2 linked regions of the Callithrix jacchus genome follow. The protein of the gene in region 2 interacts with the protein of the main gene of each other region in a biochemical or structural test. Links are inferred from orthologs where the notes say so. Each region holds a gene or a part of one and is shown on either strand. Other genes may lie near its edges.

Region 1 (4,864 bases), on a different chromosome or scaffold from region 2:
GGTCTGGCTGGGCCCTAAAAAGCGGGATCTAGGGTGCGTCATGTCACTGCTGCTAACAACGACGGCTGGATTCCACAGAGATCCACTCAGGGATCTGGGAAGGACACACACTCACCAATTTTTTGTCCATTTTTGCTTTGATGTCTCTGGCAAGAGTGAAAAATGCCTGCGGAATAAGCACACTTAGTACTTGCAATGACAGCACCCCGAGTCCTCAGCCACCTGTGTGGAGTGAGCGTGGTGGGACAGCTTCCCAGACGTGGGCCTCCTATGGCAGTGGGTTCAGCTGGTTTGCCCAGCCCCAGCTCCTGTCCTTCCCCAGTCCCTCCACCTCCCAACGGCCTTTCCTCTCCAATGCCAACTCTCACTTCCACAGAGCACCTTAGTGTTGACGGGGCCTCCCCTAAGCCCTGTGAGATGGGGCTATACTCGGTTGGCCAGAGACGAAACTGAGACTCAGAGAGGCCAAGTGACTTGACCAAAGGCAAGTTAACCGACTGATCCAGAAGGATTTAGATGGAGTGCCCAGTTCTTCATCTCTGACTCCTCGGTTCTGTCTGCTCAGGGGAAAAGGCAAGAGCTCTGTGGCCAAACAAGCTTCACCTGGAGTTCCTGCCTGGCCGGGCCGGGAGCAGGAACAGGTTCATGCCCCAGCACAGCCAAGGCTCCAGCTGCTGTTACGGCCTTGAGTGTGGGACATACAGAGATGGTGGGAGGCATGATCCCAACACACATACCTATGACGTGGGAGGTTCTGGAGAGGAAAGTGGCTTGGGGTGTGGAGGAAGGTCTAGCAGAGGACGAAGACAAACTTGGGGAGGGACCTCCTAGGCTGGGCCCTGACTAGCAAAGGGAACCTGACAGGTGGAAAAGGGGGCACACGGGCGGGGAATGCAGTAAAGTCTTGGAGAAGGAAGAAAGCGGGGTGGGCAATGCCTGAGTCCTGGGTGACAAACACCAGCTGTAGCCAGCGAGGGAGGGCTTTCCATGCCAGGCGAGGATTCTGGCCTTGGTCTTCCAGGCAGCACAGACACTTCGGGTGGGAGTAATGTGGAAGATCCCACCTTGGAAACATACCCAGGAGGGAGAAACATCACGGGGTCGGCCGCAAGGGCTGGGGTCACCCGTGGAGAGGGGAGGGTGCATGGACCAACTCCTATCAGGGCTCCCTGCTGTGTCTGAGCTTTTGACAGGGGCCTCTCCAGTGTGACTGGCATGGCTGAGAGTGTAAACAGAGTTGGGGCTCTCTAAGCCTCAATTTCTTCACCTGTAAAACCATGCCTATTCCCCAGGGCTGCCCAGGGGCCTATGAGACGCGTCCTAGGTGCCCTTTGTGGGCCTGCCCCTGCTGATGGCAGATTCCCACAGGCCGCCTGTGCCTGGCATGTAGCACTGGCCAGCAAGTGTCCCTCAGAGGACTGACTGGCAGCATGGAGCCAGAGGCTGGTCTGTCTGGCAGACCTCCCCAGAGGATGCCAGCTCCCTCTTAAGCATGAAGGGGCTGATCCTGCAGGCCCCGTGTCTCCCAGCAGGGCCTGGGACTCACGTTTTCCACGTTGATGTTGGCCTTCGCGCTGGTCTCCATGAACTTGATTCCATAGTCGAGGGCTAGCTGTGAGAAAGGGAGGCACACATATAAGCACACCAGCTGCTGGGCACATCTGAGCTTGCCCAAAACAGGAGTGGAAGTCGGGGCTGGTGCCAAGTGGGAGCACCAACGGGGCTGGGGCTGGGGCTGTGGCTTCCTGGGTGGCTCCCTCGATTCTCCAATGGGGAGCCCATTCCGAATGCCCCTCCACAGTGCTGTGCAGGGCATGGAGCGCCGGGGAGGGCAGCTGAGATGGGAGGGTGGCAGGGCCCTGCTGGGATCAAACCACGGCTCTGTCCCCTGCTCCTGTGGCTTTGAAGGCCTGGAGTGGGGCCATGCTGGGTTTCAACGAGACGCCCACAGAGTGCACCTGAGAAGCCCCAGCTGGGCATGTGCTTCCCACTCTGCTGTCCCCTGGCATGTGCCACAATGGGGTGACCAACTCGTCCCAGGCAAGCCAGGATAGCATGTACTTATAAAAGGAACCACCAAAACCCAACTTTTCTACCCGAGAGCACTCAGGGGAGCCCCTGGGGCAGCAGAGGGATGGGGAAGGCCTCTGCATGGGAATCCTGAGACCCCCCAGGCCCTCTGCCCCTTGTGCCACCATGCCCACCTTTTCTCCCCGTTCCTTGGAAACTTGTCTCTTGTCATTCACATCACACTTGTTCCCGAGTATCATCTTTTCGACATCTGCAGAGGCGTGCTGAGAGAGAGGGGGAGAGACAGGGAGGGGATCAGACTGGATGACACTGGCCAGGTACCTTTGACAGCACAGAGCCTGTCCCCAGAAATCAGAGTGGTGGGGTCAGGACTGCTAGGCACAGCCTAGTCTAAGGGAGAAGCTGAAGCTCAGAGAGGCCGAGCAGCCAGTCCCATGTCACACAGCCAATGCCAGGGCCAGGGCCAGGGTTCGAGCTGCTACTCTGACCAAATGCACATTTTCTGAAATGCTTTCTGGCAGCTTCTACGGATATGTCAATCAGGCTGCTGCAGGGGTCTGGCCTCTGCAGGGGTGAGTGAGGCTGAGACATTTACCCCCCACCCTTGCCTCCCTCCCTCCCTCCCTCCCCTCCTGGCTCCTCTGCAGGAGGCTTTAGCTGTTGTCCTGGGACCTTCTGCTCTACTCTTTTTTTTTTTTTTTTTTTTTTTAAAGGAAGGAGTCTCGTTCTGTCTCCCAGGCTGGAGTGTAGTGGCATGATCTCAGCTCACTGCAACCTCTGCCTCTGGGTTCAAGTGATCCTCAGTCAATAGCTGAGATGACAGCGGTGAGCCACCATGCCTGACTAATGTTTTATATTTTTAGTAGAGGCTGGGTTTCACCATTTTGGCCAGGCTGGTCTCAAACTTCTGACCTCAGGTGATCCACCAGCCTTGGCATCCCAAAGTGCTGGGATTATAGGCGTGAGCCACCATGCCTGGCCTTGACATTTCAACTCTTTCTGTGGGCTCCAGAAACGGGCCATGCCTGAGGTGATCGCAACTCGAGGCTGTCACCAGCCCCAGGCACTTCACCATACCATGTGGTGCTGCCCAAACTCTGCCTTCACACCCACAGGCAGCTCCTTCATCAGACCTTCCTGGGTCCTCATGGAGTCAACCGTGCTTCCTGAAGAATGGGGACACTGGAAACTGCTGTCTTCTTTCACCAGCTGAGGCCTGGTCTCTGGAACCTACTGTGCCACTCCCTGCCTCACTGCCCATGAATAAGAAGGTGCTCCTGCCTGCTGGCCAGAAACAGACCGTTCGCAAAGACCAGGCTCTGCTCCTCTCCATGGATGAAGACGGCTTCCCCAGCCAGGGTGCAGCCTTGCACTGGCTAATTCGGCAGCTCAGCCCTCTCAGGATCATTGAGGAGCTGAGCCCAGTGCAATGACTCATAAATGATGGGGTGGCCTCTCAGCCTGGCCTGAGGGGGTCCATGAGTCCTGGGTGGACAGTGATGTGCCATTTTGCGCTGGCATTATAGATGGGAAAAGTTATCTGGCTGTGCCTCAGACCTGAAGCTCCACCTGGTTAGCTGTCAAAAGCTGCAGGTGCCGCTGGCCAGGAAGGCTTTGGGGGTGAGGTCAGTTTTTTGGGGAGCAGGAAGATAAAGATGGCTTTGGGAGGGGGAGGAGGGATTGGCTTCCTCCTCTCCCTTCTATGGGTCAAGGTCTGAACACAGGTAGTTTGTAGCAGGTCACACCCAGCTCTGATACAGCTCAAAGTACAACTGACTGGCCAGCTACCACACCCTCCGACTACAAGGGTCACACCTGCGCTAGAACCTTCCTTCTCTAGAAAGCAGCCAATGCGCATGGTGACCACAAGCTTGGATGTTCCTTCTCTTATGACTGTGACGCTGGCCAGATCCAACAGCCCAGCTGGAGGGGTGGGCTCCGAAGGGCTCTGGGGCGGGGCCAGGCCAGGGTGTGGTCCCTGGGGCCGGCTGCCTGTGTCTCAGTCCCTGCTCCCACTGAGTCCCTGATTTGGAGGCTATTGGCAAGTGACCTGTGTGTGTCTCTGCACCCTGGCCTTCTCATAGGTAAACCAGAGAGCGCTGGGACAAGGACTGAAGCAGGGACAGTGGGAAGAGCCGGCAGGCCTCACCTCCTCAATGTTTCGAATCCAGTTCCGGATGTTGTCAAAGGACTTCTCGTTGGTGATGTCATAAACCAGCATGATGCCCTGGGCGGGGAGAGGAGACACGGGTGTTTCATCAGCTGCAGACTCTGGAGGCAAGGCCCCAGCAGCACAGGAGAATGGTGCAGAGCCCAGCACCCGCCGCACAGCCAGGCCTGTTGCTGCCACTCTTCCCGCCTCTGTGGCACCCCAGAGGCCAGCCATCTCCTCTCCATCCCTGCGGCCCTTCCTTCTGCTGGGCTCTGGCACCAGTCTTGTCCCGCCCCCTGGGCTGCTGAGGTGACCCTTCTGCCTCACAGGCCCCCGCCACGCCCTCGATGACAAGCCCCACTGGCTCCCCTTGTGGCCCACAGGGTGGTGCAGCCTGACGCTGGGAGCTGTTCCACAGGCCCACTGCCAGCAGGGCTCCCCTCACGCTGACCCTCTCCTGCAGTCAGCCTCCTCTTCACCCCTTGCTCAACCCACGGTCTGCCAGAGCCACCTTCCAGGCATGACTAAACCCAGGGAGTCCTGACCTGACATCCACGCAACTTCCAGTGACCCCATCACAGAGGGGACCAGCTATGTGAAGAAGGGTTGGGTGCGCTGAGGCCTATCCGGTTCCCTAACCAACATATGAAGACGGCCCATTGGTCCTGAAAGAGCTTCGGG
Region 2 (4,864 bases):
ACTCAGAAACACCAGCAGGGGACACTAGAACTCCAGAGAAGACTACATTCAAAGACACTACCAACATAGACCAGCAGAGGCTACTGCAGACAATTCTACCTCAAATCCAAACTGCATGAGTTATTAAAGCAGACTACCTTTCCATGTAAAGGGAGGCAATGATCCAGTTTCTTATCAAGCTTCCAGGAATCCATCTGGATCTCTGCCTCTCCAAGGAAAGTGTTTCTGCCAAAACGGCCGTGATGCCAAACTGAGAACTGCAGGGTCCTCCGGGCCAGGAGAGATTCTGGGATCTCATACTGGGAAGGGAAAGTAGAAGCCCAAGATGATTATTAGTTTAGGATAATTCCTCAGACAAGAATATTCCAAAACCTGAGCAACCATTCCTGAAGTCACTAGTCCTGAATACCAAATTCCTTTATATTCCCTAAGCACTTTGAGTTTCCTCACTCAAAGCCTCAACTTACCTCATTTTATAAAAAACCTACCATATTCCATAGGAAGATCTGGAAAATTAGATTTTCCTTGAGTAGGTGAGAGAATACTGAGTCGTCCAAAAACAACTGACAAGGAGATTCCTTATCTCAAATGTCTTTTTAAAATGAGATTTGTGGCCATGTGAATCTCCAACTTCACAACAATCCAGGAAAGGCGGAGCACCTTTGTTCTCTTCACTGGGAAATCAGGATGTGAACAGGTACCCAATGTATCCTCACACACAGACATGGCCCACTGAAACTCATGTCACCTGGCCATGTTGCAGAGGAATAGTTACAGCCTCGGGCACAAGACAAAACAGGTTCTTCTACCCTTGGGGTCTAGATACTTACCCTGAGGGTCTCATCATATAGTGGATTAATGGTATCCCGCTTGATACTAGTTTTTCTTTTTCCTTGGCGGGATTTGTCAGGCAGAAGGTAAGTCTTCACATACCTAGAAACCAAAGAGTATACTGAGTAATTTGCTGGCCTTTCTCAAGCCTGCTCTTCACTTTCCTGCTCTCCATATGAATATGGCATGGTGATATGTGATGTCAAAAATGTCACCTCAAGCCCTCTTAGACATGCCATTCTTGCTTTTTCCCCAATCCTGGTTCCTTTCCTACATCACACCTCCCTGCTCCCAAGGAAAGGGATAAGCTCTGTTCAAGAGTGCCCAGACAGATGCTGGGGTCTGTTCTCCAGTCTCAGAGCATCAGTCAGGTTCCAGAAGCACTCACGGGTTAGAGCGCTTCTTGGCTTCATCAGCATAGGCCAGCTGGTGGCACTCCTTCACATGGACGACGAGACTCTGTGTTTGCTGTTCATACTTCAGGGAAAAGGCAATCCTGCCAGTCACAGAGACGTTCCCGAAGTCACCAGCTTCACTGTAGATGCTCATCATGCTGCCGATTGTACTCTGAAGAAAAAGCACTCACGAACATCTGGGGAAGGCACACTCCACCCCCGCCACATTGTTCATATCTTCCCTCATGATAAAGCCACAGTCACTGAACAGAAGATTCAGAAGCCCCTGCAATGATCCAGTGCTGCCCACACTCCTTGACCCAGAGGGTAAAAGAGAACTACCAGGACTCATAACTGTTCAGGTGAATAAATCAGTTCATGGCTCACCTAGCCTCTTAGCTTCTCTTCTTCTCCTGGTTGTACAAATTTTAGTGTTCATTTTCATCTGCCCCAGGAGGCGGGCAGGGAGCAGAGGCAAGGTGCACGTAAGTCCATTTGGGAACTGTGTTATATACACTAAAACATCGGCTAGAATGGTGTTAGTCACTAACTAAAACAAGGTGGGTTTCTCTTATCCACCTTATGTCTATCAGGACCTATAGAGAAAAGAGATTCAGCCAGAATTGGGAGTGAGTGGGAAGGAGGAAACCCGACCAGAAGTGAAAAGGCACCTTCCTTTCTGGTAGTAATTGGTCTTGTGAGCTGACCTTCTCTTCCTGTGAATGTGAACAAACTCTGTTTACTCTTGTTCTTGACTCTTTCCCTAAATATCAATCTCCATGCTTATAACAGAACCAGGCCCTGATTCATAAATGTTCCCTTAACTTCATTATCCTTACTGGTGTTGTTGATTGTTAGCCATACCCTGATGTTGACTAACCCTGCCAGGGCCCCTCTCATGACACTCACTTTCCTTTAATGTTGGGAATTTAGAGTGCGCTATGATGAAGAAATCTGATCTTGCTCACTTCACAGCCTGGGTACCTCTTTAAAGGATAAGTTGAGGTTATTGCTCACAAAGCTGTGATGAAGAATGTCCCCAGCCTTAATTATCTATATGTAATAATCTCCAGGATGGGGACTCAGGAAGTCACCTAGATGTACACTAAGCATCTATAGTCTAAATTGAGGATAGGAACAAACAAACGCATCTTACTTACCTGAAAAGAGTGACTAGGATGGTTTCCCCAGGTCCCGAGTCTGCTCTAGGGAGGTGCTTCTTTTCTTCCTAGCACCCCAATATGCCTATACCCACAGATCTAATAGAACTTACCATGGAGGAGCCACTTTGCATGCTGCTTCTGGCTAACTTCTGGCGATGTAACTTCACTAAGTAGTCAATGTCTTCTTCTTCTTCTTCTTCTTCTTCTTCCTCTTCCTAGAACAATATAGATTCAGAATTAATAAAAGAAATACCTTTCTTTAGCTTCAAAGACTAACACCTTTCCTTTAGTGGGAGCCATAATTGTCATAAAGCTCCGAGTTGTATGTATATGCACATATTCTTCTTTTTATATGTCTTCCCATTTCAGGCTTCCCAGCTCTATTCCAACCATCCTTCTCATATCTCAAAGAATAAGATAAGAATATTTAATGTTTTTCATAAAAGCTATAACTCTTTTCCATTAGACTTTCCCCAACCCAGCTATCTCTTTATATTTTAACCAAGAGAAGTATTTATTTGATCCCCAGTCATATATCCAGCAATTTATTAGAAAATAAAAGAGATGGCCAGGCATGGTGGCTCATGCCTGTAATTCCAACACTTTGGGAGGCAGAAGAGTGTAGATTACTTGAGCTCAGGAATTCCAGACTAGGCTGGGCAATATAGTGAGACACCCATCTCTCCCAAAAAAAAAAAAAATGAATGAAAGAAATTAGCCAGGTATGATGATTCATGCCTAAAGTCCCAGCTACTCAGGAGGCTGAGGTGAGAGGACAGCTCGAGCCCAGGAGTTCAAGGTGGCACTGAGCTATAATTGTGCCATTACACTCCAGCCTGGGCAACAGAGTGAGACACTGTGAAAGAGAAAGAAAGAAAAGAGATAGCAAAGACAGTCCTTTCCTTTAAGCAAATCAGGAACCAGATTTACTTCAGAAATTTGGGGTATCAAGTTTCATGTTGCCTTTTCCTAAAGAATTAAATAGGTTGATTGAGAATCTCAGGTACTAAAGCCAAATCTAGATAAATAAAATTTCATATAGTGACAGTAAAATACAAGGGCACTTACCATATCTACATTGAGGCCTGGGACAGATTTGCTTCTGTCTCCCAAGGGGCCACTTTCTGGGCGAAGATCTATCACAGACTTGGTGTACTCTGAGGAGAAAACCAAAAAGCCAAATCAGAAGAAACCTATTCTTCTCCTTACCAAGAGCCCATCAAGGGTACTCAGAACTTTAGTCCCAAAAGACCAGTAAGGGAAACCAGTTACCTGACGGCCTGAGGATTTTCCTGGTATTCTTCTTAAATATCATCTCACCCTCATCCACAAATACCACATTTTGACATCCAGGCTGAGTTTCCTAGAAAGGAACAAGGGCACGAAAATGGAAAAGGACAGATGGACAGGTAGAAGGAGTAAGGAAGGATAGCCTTAAGAAGAATGAGGCTCAGATTTTCCCGAAACTATGACAAACTTAAAGGAAAGATTATGTGCCTAGGAATAGTACAAAACCTATTTTCTCACACATTTCAACCAAAACCTTAGAAAATGCTCCCAAGTGACTCTGAACTGAAATTTGTTTAGTTAAATTCCTGATTCAAATTCTGCCTAAGAGAATGGAGGGAGGGAGGGAAGAAAGAGGAAGAGAAGAATGAAGGGGAGGGAGGAAGGGAAAGATGGAGGGAGACAGGGAGGTAAAGGAGGAAGGGAAGGAAGGGAGGGAAGGAAGGTGGCTCAGTAACCTGCAGCTTACCTTTTCTACTTGAGATTTGGGAACAGACATCTTCTTCCATTCTGGAAAGAGGCCAGATTTTTCCAGAGAGTCTCTCCTGGAGATAGATTCACAAGTTATAACTAAGTCACCTCCTCCCCTTCCCCTTGCACCCAGAGATCAAAGCTCTATGGAAGGAAAGCCAGTGCCTTGGGTCATGGTAATAACCAAATTCAGAAGGTATACTTCACATCTGATTTACCTGGAAGGAATGCAGAAGATCAGATAAGCAACTTTGCACAAACACAAACACTCAGATCCCTCATTCTTAAAGGACAGCAGCATCAGTTGCTACAGGGCTAAGAAGAATACTCCAAGGTACTGGGGGAATTGACTGGGGAAGCCAATATGATCCAGGAAGCTGTGCTCAGAGCCAAATCAGTACACGTGCTACGGAAAAGACTTCTGGTGAGGTCAGAGGAAATACTCCATTCAACTTCCTGAGGACAGAAGTCAGGAACACTGATGCTGCAGAACAAAATCGCAACTTGGGTAGTGTGGAGATGAGAGAAATGAGGAAACCTCACCTGGAGGTGCTATCTGAGTCAGCTGTGAAGCTATCCAGACTCTCACTCTCAGTTTCCAATGCACTCTTTCCACTTTTCAGCTTTGGCACTTCAAATAGCACACTACAATAAAAACCAAGAGCCAATATTGAAAGGAAGCAGGTTCTACCTCTAGTCAGGCCTCTTTCCAATCCG

The links. The genes of interacting proteins can lie anywhere in the genome.
Region 1: the proteins of SYTL4 (region 2) and RAB8A form a complex in vitro, tested with the Homo sapiens proteins (2 studies listed by BioGRID). The link is inferred for Callithrix jacchus from reciprocal best matches to the Homo sapiens genes SYTL4 and RAB8A.

The regions. Positions count from the first base shown.
Region 1 is NC_133523.1:14,740,764-14,745,627, reverse strand, and holds part of RAB8A (ras-related protein Rab-8A), read right to left. Parts: intron 4,259-4,864; coding exon 4,181-4,258; intron 2,295-4,180; coding exon 2,205-2,294; intron 1,613-2,204; coding exon 1,547-1,612; intron 167-1,546; coding exon 116-166; intron 1-115. UniProt on the Homo sapiens protein: The small GTPases Rab are key regulators of intracellular membrane trafficking, from the formation of transport vesicles to their fusion with membranes.
Region 2 is NC_133524.1:96,994,327-96,999,190, forward strand, and holds part of SYTL4 (synaptotagmin-like protein 4), read right to left. Parts: intron 4,793-4,864; coding exon 4,691-4,792; intron 4,222-4,690; coding exon 4,146-4,221; intron 3,753-4,145; coding exon 3,662-3,752; intron 3,547-3,661; coding exon 3,458-3,546; intron 2,605-3,457; coding exon 2,500-2,604; intron 1,399-2,499; coding exon 1,220-1,398; intron 934-1,219; coding exon 831-933; intron 300-830; coding exon 138-299; intron 1-137. UniProt on the Homo sapiens protein: Modulates exocytosis of dense-core granules and secretion of hormones in the pancreas and the pituitary. Interacts with vesicles containing negatively charged phospholipids in a Ca(2+)-independent manner.